Linked DNA regions of Arabidopsis thaliana. The protein of the gene in region 1 interacts with the protein of each later gene in a pairwise test. Each region holds a gene or a part of one and is shown on either strand. Other genes may lie near its edges.

Region 1 (4,956 bases):
GCTAAAAGGACTATCCGGTATCTCAGAATTGTCTTCGTTTGGATCCATACTTTTGGAGAAACATATTACCTGACTCAAAATTTTTTTTCAAGGGGCTAGATTAAGCTGAATTTATATAGATAATTAACACTTTCAAGTATCATCACCATTTAACTCTTCCATTCAAATGCAAATACTTGAGTGGACAGGATAGTCTTAATATTGATAAAGTAATAGAAAAAATAAAGACGTTATGAACAAAGAAAAACCACTAAATATATTGTAGCTCAGTTAAAGGAAAAATATATATACCAAATTAAGGCTTAAACGATAAATAATGCATATAACCCACTTTTCAGTGCCTCCATGGATAAAAGGATTTAGCAACTTTAAGGAAAAAAGGTTTATACCAAAAAAAAGTTCAAGGAGAAAAAGACCACTGATTTACAATTGTTGGGTAGTTTGAAGTCCCAAAATGTTAAAAATTCAATTAAAAAAATTGTGACAGCTAATAAAAATGGAACTTTAGCTGGATTCGGAAGATTTATTTTATTGAAAATAAGGATTCTGTTTTAATTATAGCTCTAATACAGTTGAATTGGTTTTTTATAGAAAAACATTTCTTTATTGAATTTTCTTCAATGGAAAAATATCATTTTAGAGTGAATAAGTACAAAAAATAATAAATGTTGCTTTCAACAAAAAAAGGAAGGAAATTTTATGTTTTGGCTTTGTATATTTGCTTTCAACGTCATTAAAACGCTTTTTAAACCGGAGATATGCATCTTGTTTTCCTCATTTACAAGTTCACAAGATGATTAATTACATTACTTGGGTCATGGGCTTAAAAAGAGAGAGTTTGGGTCCAACTAAAAAGGCTCAGTAAAATACGTAAATGGGCCTAGCGTTATAGCGAGAGGCAGAGAGAGAATTTACACGACGACGACGTCATACTCAATGGACGTAAATGTCCAAACTACAAAAGTTTTTTTTTTTTTTTGTGTATTAAAAAAAAAATCTCAAGTTAAAAACACATCAAGAGTATATTACAGCAACTTGTGTGTTAAATCACCAATTGTGAATAAATCGGTTATGGAAATCAATCATTTTTTTTTTTGGTTTAATGGAAATTAATCATTTGATCGTTAAGAGTGTCACTAATTCGATACGTCACTTGCTGACGAATCTGCAGATGAAATAGGCATGGTATGATAAATCTCGTTAAGAATAAAATTTCACCTAGATGTTTGAGTAATTTTTGTAAGATGATGAAAATTGTAACATTTTTCATTGAAAGAAGCAAAGAGACAAGCAACAAGACAAGAGTGTCCCCACGCATGTGAGCACCGTTAACCATAATAGAAAAAAGATATCTTCATCTAATAATAGGTGAAAAAATCTTATAACTGAGCAAATTTTAGAGAATGAAAATAGTGATCTGTGAAATAATTTTTTTTTTTTTTATGATAGACCTCACCTAACAACTAGAAGAAATAATATAAAACCATTATTACTTATATTGATAAACTCTTACAAGATCACTGTTTCCATAAATCTTGACAAAAATGTCACTCCATATGTTTGGTGTACAAGACTAGAAACTGTAGTTTTGAGTTATGTTATTATAATGTTAAACTGTATTATGCTCAAAATTGAACTCCTTTTGAAAGGTGGTTTATCTTCTTTACTAATCGTTTCTTCATTTTCTCTCTAGGAGCTAGGTGGGAAAAAGATTCAACCTTGTCTTAGAAAAAGAAAACCAAAGCTAATCTTTTTCTTTTGTACCTCTCTTTCAAGGATTAACAAAACAAATCGATGAAGCCCGGGTTTTAGTACCTAAACATCTCTTTGTCTCGTCTTTGAAAACCCCCCCAAGTAGATCCAACATCATTCATATCTCTCTCTCTATCTCTGCATAAGCTACGGAGCGATGTCGGCGTGCATCAATGGCTTATGCAGAGCCGTGACTGTCTCTCTTCTTCTTCTTCTTCTTTCTTTCTCTTTTTCCTCAGCTTGCTCCAATGGAAATTGCCAGGTTCTTGATTCTCTTTGCTTATTATTCTCTGGTTTATGGCTATCAAATTTGGGTCTAAATCTTTAGGGATTTTGCATTTTTGTGTCTCTTTCAGCTGCTGGATTCATGCTCCTCGGCTACTGATTGTGTCTCTGGTTTATACTGTGGAGACTGTCCTGCCGTTGGAAGAAGTAAACCCGTCTGCACAAGAGGCCAAGCCACAAGTCCAACTTCCATTGTGAGATTTAGTTCCTATAATTAGTTGGATTTCTCTAGAGTTTCCAATTTTTGAAGATGCGTTGTTTCAAAAGATAGTCTAGATCACTTGGTCTATCAAAAGTTTTGAACTTTGAAGATGGGTTTTGCTGAAGATTTCATTTGGTTGCATTAAAAGATAGTCTAGATCATTTGGTTGTATCAAAAGTTTTGAACTTTGAAGATGTGGTGATGAAATTTGTGTGTGTGTTTTTTGTAGATCAATGGATTGCCTTTTAACAAGTATACATGGTTGATGACTCATAATGCCTTTAGCAATGCAAATGCACCACTTTTGCCAGGTGTTGAGAGGATTACATTTTACAATCAAGAAGATACTATTACTAATCAGCTACAAGTAATGCTCTTATTACCAACTCTCTTATTATAGTTTCCTCTTTTTTTGGATAAAACTCTTGAATGTATATTTTTGTTCTAGAATGGAGTTAGAGGGCTAATGCTGGATATGTATGACTTCAACAATGATATCTGGCTTTGCCATTCGCTTCGAGGGCAATGTTTCAACTTCACCGCTTTTGTAAGTTTTATCTTCAGCTTAACCTTGCTGGATCGAAAGCTTGAAACCTGATTGGATTGGTAAATGTGAACTTTGTTTTCTTTTTGAATCAGCAACCTGCAATTAACATACTGAGGGAAGTTGAGGCATTTCTGAGTCAAAACCCAACAGAGATTGTTACCATCATAATAGAGGATTATGTGCACAGACCTAAAGGCTTATCAACACTGTTTGCCAACGCTGGTTTGGACAAATACTGGTTCCCTGTTTCGAAAATGCCTAGAAAGGGAGAAGATTGGCCTACTGTGACTGACATGGTGCAAGAGAATCATAGGCTCCTGGTTTTCACTTCTGTTGCTGCCAAAGAAGATGAAGAAGGCGTTGCGTATCAGTGGAGATACATGGTTGAAAATGAATGTGCGTATTACACACAGTTTATATCTTTAATGAAAATTGTCTCTGAGAATAACCTTCTCTTGCCATTTTCTTATGATTGTCTAAAGCTGGGGATCCCGGAGTGAAGCGAGGTTCTTGTCCTAACAGAAAAGAGTCTCAACCTTTAAATTCAAAAAGTTCTTCGCTATTCTTGATGAATTACTTCCCGACATATCCGGTTGAGAAAGACGCTTGCAAGGAGCACTCAGCTCCACTTGCTGAGATGGTTGGGACTTGTCTCAAGTCAGGAGGGAATAGAATGCCAAACTTTCTTGCTGTTAACTTCTACATGGTACTGAATCAATCATATAACTATAATATGACTGTTTTTACGAGATCTAGCTAACAAACCATAATATTGCAGAGAAGTGATGGAGGCGGCGTTTTCGAAATTCTGGATAGAATGAATGGACCGGTACTTTGCGGTTGTGAAACTCTTTCTGCTTGCCAGGTATTAACTTATTAACTCGCGCCAAAGTTACTTATGGGTATGAAATAAGATCTTACAAGCCTAAATTATCTAAAACCGGCACCCGTATTTTGGTTCTTGATGTTGCAGCCAGGAGCAGCTTATGGTTCATGCAAAAATGTTACTGTACAGACAAGAACTCCAAGCATGGATTCAACGGCTGGAAGCAACTCAGGTGGAAGCTACTCAGGTTCAGTTCAGTTCTCAAGATCTTTAGCTTCTGTGGCCCAACTAAACAACATTGTTGTCTTCTGCTTCTCATTGCTTCCGTTGCTGATATTTCTACTATGACACAACCAATCAAACCACGTGGAGAGATTCTTAGGTTAGAGAATCTTGATCACTTCTTTAGAACGAATGAGAGAGCCTAAGTTGACATGAATTGCCTTAGAAAGAGTTTCTGATTTGATTCTTGTATTGTAGACTGCAGAGCTATAGGCAGAAATCTTGTGTATGTGTGTCTTCAGCTTCTGTTGATTGTTATGCAACTTATATATATATATATATAGACACAATTCTACTCCAATAGAAACTTTACTGAATATTTATATATATATGTTGTTGATTGATGAGAGAACACATAAGATATATGCAGATTCAATTGTATGAATTACTATGTACACAACAAACAAGAAATATGATGAGCAACACTAGACAGCATGCAGCAACGGTGGTGGATTCTGAGCATTGAGAAGCAATTCCATGGGTTTGATCTGAAGAGCAGGACTGATGGTAAGTAAAGCAATGAAGCAATCTACAGGAACTCTAGTTCCCCATAAGTTGATGGATTCGAGTTTTCTGCATTTGTTTACAAGAACAAGAAGGCCTCTCTCTGTCACATGACGGCAACACCACATTCCGATTGTCTGCATAAAGGATTCCAATTTCGAAAGCGTGATTCTCATGAATCTAGAGAGAATTATTTGGTTAGATGATTGTTGTTACCTTAAGCTGATGGCAGCGTTCTGCAATTGCGAAAAGAGACTCATCGGTTATAAATGTTCCTCCTATGTTTAGGTGTTGCAGTGAGGAAGTTCTTGAAATCTGTCAAATCAAAATCAAGATTCTCTGAAATGATTAAAACAAAAAAGGAATCTTCAAGATTCCAGTGCACAAAAAACGGTGTTAGATTTTACCAGTTGAACAACACCAGAATCAGTAATGGCGGTCATGCCCCATAAAGAGACAGAGTTTAAATTGGATACACATCTTGCAGAAGCTATTTGGTAAAGACCATTATCAGTTATATGACAACCCCATCTGCTTCGAGATCTTCAAATATGAAAG
Region 2 (5,188 bases), on another chromosome or scaffold:
TCTGATGAATTGGTAAAGATAACAAACTACACGGGCATGTTCACCTCTTTTCACAATGCATTTTGATGAGCATGCAAACATTAACTATACATATCTATATATACATTTTTGCAGCCATTTTGTGAAATAAATCTTGTAGTTGAAACTTATTTACAATGGTTGCCACTGGATTTTAATATTTGTTTTTGATAATTAGAAAAAAAAATTTCGAATTAAATATTTGATATTTAACAATTTCCCTAAAATCTCTCTACATTAACTACACGATTGGTTACTAAAATAAAACTTTCAAAATATTTAATATCATTTAATTACTACAAAATTATCATTATTGATATTGTTTTTCTGCATGACTATTACAATTCAATTATAATCATCAAACCGTAGAGATATTTGATAGCATTTAATTACTAGATAATTTTAAAAATAAATGATTCATAAACATATGATAAATAAGATCAACATTAATAAAATAAAACGGGACGGGTTGGCGGAACGGGTTTGGCAGGACGTTACTTAATAACAATTCTTAACTAGAAAATAAAAATATTTTATAGATAGTTACATAGATAGTTACAAATTGTAAACTTTTATATATACTAATTTTAAAGTATAAATTGTCTCCGCGGTATACCGCGGGTGAAAATCTAGTATATACATATTTTAATAAGATATCTTTTATTATCATTTAATGAAAACATTAAATATGTACTTGTTTTTTGTTTCTCTTATAATTCAGGTACTTTGAACAATTAAATAGATAATTTAGCACAAAAGGTATACTATATCCATATAACATTATATTTGTAATCTATGTGCCATCCATTTCTAAACTTTGTAACTTTAACATAGTTGTTGACAATAGAAGTTGCACTAAAAGATTGTTTTTTATAATTATGTGTAAAGAATAATTTACAAAAAATTGGTGAAAGGATGGATATCTTTTGCAAATTTACCAAGAAAAAAAAAAGAAGAGAATATCGGAGGTGAGAGACGTGTATCCACGAGCCAACCATGTTTAATATCAGGCTTGGTTCCCACTATTGCATGACATGGCATCATCCCCATGGTTCTTTCGATCTCGCCAGGTCATCAACCTAAGTGGACCATTTATTTCGCATGATACACACCACCTGTTTATTTCTTTATTTGCTTTTTTATTCCCTATACATGCTTTTTGATTTTGATATATACTGTTCGAGGAAACAATACTCCTAAATAGTATAGAAATATTTTAAGAAGACAGAAATATAAATAATTATATTAAAAATCTTAACATTAGTTACAATATATTAATAAATTCAACAAACAGTTTATATATAGTTTATTCATGTTTGAAGCAAAACAAAGTTTAAAAACAAATATTTTCGCATGTTACTTTATCACAAAAAATGATCTAATTATACTAAAAATGATAAATTTATCGAATCTATTTAATATTTTGAAAAGGATTCTATTTACACTATACATATCTATGGACTACGATAGACATTTTTATTTTTAACACACGAGGCCACAAACGAAGGTATACGTGATGCATGAACACTGTGAAGTGTGAAGCTTCCTATATAATCTACATGTTGATGAACGCTCGATAAAATTATAAACCTAATTATTAGTCCAAAGAAATTCTACAAAAATTCTCTATTTAAAAAAAAAAAGATAGTGAAAAAATGTGTCCGTAAGTAAATAAGCGAATTAAATGTAAAATCTGTCCCAGAAAAACAAACAAAACTAAACTAGAAAAGAGAAATTTGAATTTACTTTTCCAAATTCCATTTACACATCAAAATTTTATTTATTTGTTTATGAGTGATTATCCGAATTACCTCCACCAAATAAAACCCTATCTTATTTCCCCCTAAATTATTAGAAAAATATAAAGTGATTAAGATTCTTTTGAAAGTTTGTGTTTATACTTTATCTTGTACTAAGAGAAACAGAACTTCCCTATAAAAAGCAAAAGCAAGTAAGAATAACGTGTTAAACTAAAACCTCGAAAACAACAAAACCCGAAACTGAAACAGAGAATCCAAAAAAAATGCCACAACTCGAGAACAACGAGCCACTTCTAATCAACGAGGAAGAAGAAGAAGAAACAGCGTACGATGAAACAGAGAAGGTACATATCGTAAGAAACGAAGAGGAGGACGATCTAGAACACGGCGTCGGATGCGGCGGCGCACCACCGTTCTCATGGAAGAAGCTATGGTTATTCACCGGACCTGGGTTTTTAATGAGCATTGCGTTTTTAGATCCAGGGAATCTCGAAGGAGATCTTCAAGCCGGTGCGGTTGCTGGGTACTCTTTGTTATGGCTTCTCATGTGGGCAACAGCAATGGGTCTTTTGGTTCAGCTTTTGTCGGCTAGGCTTGGTGTTGCGACAGGTCGTCACTTAGCTGAGCTTTGTCGTGATGAGTATCCTACTTGGGCAAGAATGGTTTTGTGGGTTATGGCTGAATTGGCTTTGATTGGATCTGATATTCAAGAAGTTATTGGTAGTGCTATTGCTATCAAGATTTTGAGTAATGGGATTTTGCCTCTTTGGGCTGGTGTTGTTATTACTGCTCTTGATTGGTAAATTCTCAATTTTTAGACATGTGTCTTCTTGTGTTATTGTTTCATTTGTCTGTGTTTGGTCCCAGTTTTGTCTTTTTGGTTTATGGTTCTAATAGCAGTTTAGCTAATCTAATCTATGGATTGTTTGAATTTGGTGTTAGTTAACCATTAGCTGTGTTAATTTCATCTTTACACATGAATTTTTGTCACTATGTGCTCATTTGGTCATTGATTCATATGTGTGTTTTGCTCAAAGTTTTGGTCTTTTTGTTGGAATCAGGAAACTCTAGTGAGTGTTTATGGTTCTAATTGTAATTTAGCTAATCTATTCTATGGATTGCTCAAATTATTATGTGTTAATTGATTAGCTGTGTTAATGTCTCGTGGAATTTCATCTTTCGGTGTGAGTTTTTGGTGTTATGTATCTCATTGATTCATATGTATGTGTTTTGGTCACAGTTTCGTCTTCTTGTTTCTTGAGAACTACGGAATAAGGAAGCTCGAGGCTGTGTTTGCAGTTCTTATCGCTACAATGGGAGTCTCATTCGCTTGGATGTTTGGTCAAGCTAAGCCAAGTGGCTCTGAGCTTCTCATTGGTTAGGCTTTCTTTCTTCTCTTTATCATTTTCTTAATGGAACAGTCTTTTAACTTTTTAAGTTCTGAAGAAGTTAGATTTCTCTTGTTGCAGGGATTTTGGTACCGAAACTGAGTTCAAGAACGATACAGAAAGCAGTTGGAGTTGTGGGTTGCATTATAATGCCACACAATGTGTTTCTTCACTCAGCTCTTGTTCAATCTAGAGAAGTCGATAAACGACAGAAATACCGAGTCCAAGAAGCGCTAAACTACTACACAATAGAATCCACAATTGCTCTTTTCATCTCCTTTTTGATCAATCTGTTTGTCACAACTGTTTTCGCCAAAGGGTTTTATAATACTGACCTCGCCAATAGCATCGGTTTGGTTAACGCGGGACAGTATCTTCAGGAGAAATATGGAGGCGGTGTGTTCCCGATACTATACATTTGGGCGATCGGGCTATTAGCTGCTGGCCAAAGCAGCACTATTACCGGTACATATGCGGGACAGTTCATAATGGGCGGGTTTCTTAATTTCAAAATGAAGAAATGGTTGAGAGCTTTGATCACACGAAGCTGCGCTATCATTCCAACTATTATCGTTGCGCTAGTGTTTGATTCATCGGAAGCTACACTCGATGTCTTAAACGAGTGGCTTAACGTGCTTCAGTCCATTCAAATCCCCTTTGCACTCATTCCCTTACTTTGTTTGGTCTCCAAGGAACAAATCATGGGTAGCTTCAAGATTGGTCCTTTGTACAAGGTTTGTCAATTTCGTTCAAACTCTTTTACTAACATTCTTTAAAGATCGCTTTATTAAGCTCGATCTCACCTTGTTGTGCAGACAATCGCGTGGCTTGTTGCTGCGCTCGTGATAATGATCAACGGTTATCTTTTGTTGGAGTTCTTCTCCAATGAGGTTAGTGGCATAGTCTATACCGGTTTTGTGACACTGTTCACAGCTTCTTATGGTGCATTCATCCTCTACCTCATTGCTCGTGGCATCACTTTCACTCCTTGGCCGTTCAAAGCGGAGTCTAGTCATTGAGACTGGACCAAACAAGACAGTGTAAGCGTAGTAGCTATGTCTTGTAATCCTTAGGATCATGAGTTCTTAGCTTTCTCTCTTGTATTATATGTGTTGTTGTTATAAAGCAGCTCTGGTTTTGTTGAAGAAGGCTCTTCTATGTATCAGTAGTTAGGTCCCAGAGACGAGAATTAATAAGAATATGTTCACATCTAAACCAATGTTGACACAGATCAAAAGAAACTTTGGGGAACATTCCCAAAAGTGTACATTTAATCGTCCGATCAGAGTTTCACAGTTTCAAGGATTCTCAAATACTTTAAAGTACATATTGTGGATATAGTCAGGGCAAATTCGATACACAAGGTAAAATGATGGAACCAAAATTTCCATAGATAAACACAAAATCTACTTGTTCTAATATGGTATATTATTAAGGGCTTTGTCCCGATCTATTACATTGGCATCTATGTTTTTGTTAATGTATTTTGGGAAGTGCAGTCTTGCTCATCTTGGCATTCATTGCCTCTTTGTCTTCCCTCTTGTTTGGAGTGGTTTGTTTTGGGTACAAACCAACGTCCCACATTTGAAGTTTAGAAAATAGTTTCCCATATATAAGCAAGTTCAACTTCAACTAGTAAGAGACATTTTGGGAAGGAGATCAATAACAAATCCTTGCGGATTTGAGCATGTAGATTCAAAAAGGACAATATTATACTAAAGGGGAGTTGGAATGGGCTTGGAAAGCCTAATAAATGGTGTTGAACGTGGGTTGAAAAAAATGGACCTAGGGCTTGGACTGTATAATCGGTGTGGGAGAAGCCTACCATGTAACACGATAAGAAGGATACCTCAAGAGAACCTCACAAATAAGAAGGTGTCGAGTCATGGTCCCAAGGTTTCTCTGAAGGGGACGCCCATGTTCGTGGTCCTTGGTTTGAAGGGGAGATTGTTGGGTACAAACCAACGTCCCACATCTGAAGTTTAGAAAATAAGTTTCTAATATATAAGCCAAGTCCAACTC

What was found.
Region 2: the proteins of AT5G67130 (region 1) and NRAMP3 interact in a protein complementation assay, tested with the Arabidopsis thaliana proteins (one large-scale study listed by BioGRID).

What each region holds. Positions count from the first base shown.
Region 1 is NC_003076.8:26,789,690-26,794,645, forward strand, and holds AT5G67130 (PLC-like phosphodiesterases superfamily protein), read left to right. Parts: upstream 1-1,609; 5' UTR 1,610-1,909; coding exon 1,910-2,014; intron 2,015-2,108; coding exon 2,109-2,231; intron 2,232-2,468; coding exon 2,469-2,606; intron 2,607-2,687; coding exon 2,688-2,786; intron 2,787-2,878; coding exon 2,879-3,182; intron 3,183-3,268; coding exon 3,269-3,492; intron 3,493-3,564; coding exon 3,565-3,651; intron 3,652-3,759; coding exon 3,760-3,960; 3' UTR 3,961-4,193; downstream 4,194-4,956. Other genes in the region: AT5G67120 (RING/U-box superfamily protein), read right to left, coding at 1-48; AT5G67140 (F-box/RNI-like superfamily protein), read right to left, coding at 4,320-4,535, 4,615-4,713, 4,806-4,941.
Region 2 is NC_003071.7:9,855,419-9,860,606, reverse strand, and holds NRAMP3 (natural resistance-associated macrophage protein 3), read left to right. Parts: upstream 1-1,828; 5' UTR 1,829-2,041; coding exon 2,042-2,577; intron 2,578-3,018; coding exon 3,019-3,155; intron 3,156-3,247; coding exon 3,248-3,900; intron 3,901-3,981; coding exon 3,982-4,185; 3' UTR 4,186-4,458; downstream 4,459-5,188. UniProt on the Arabidopsis thaliana protein: Vacuolar metal transporter involved in intracellular metal homeostasis. Can transport iron (Fe), manganese (Mn) and cadmium (Cd). Regulates metal accumulation under Fe starvation.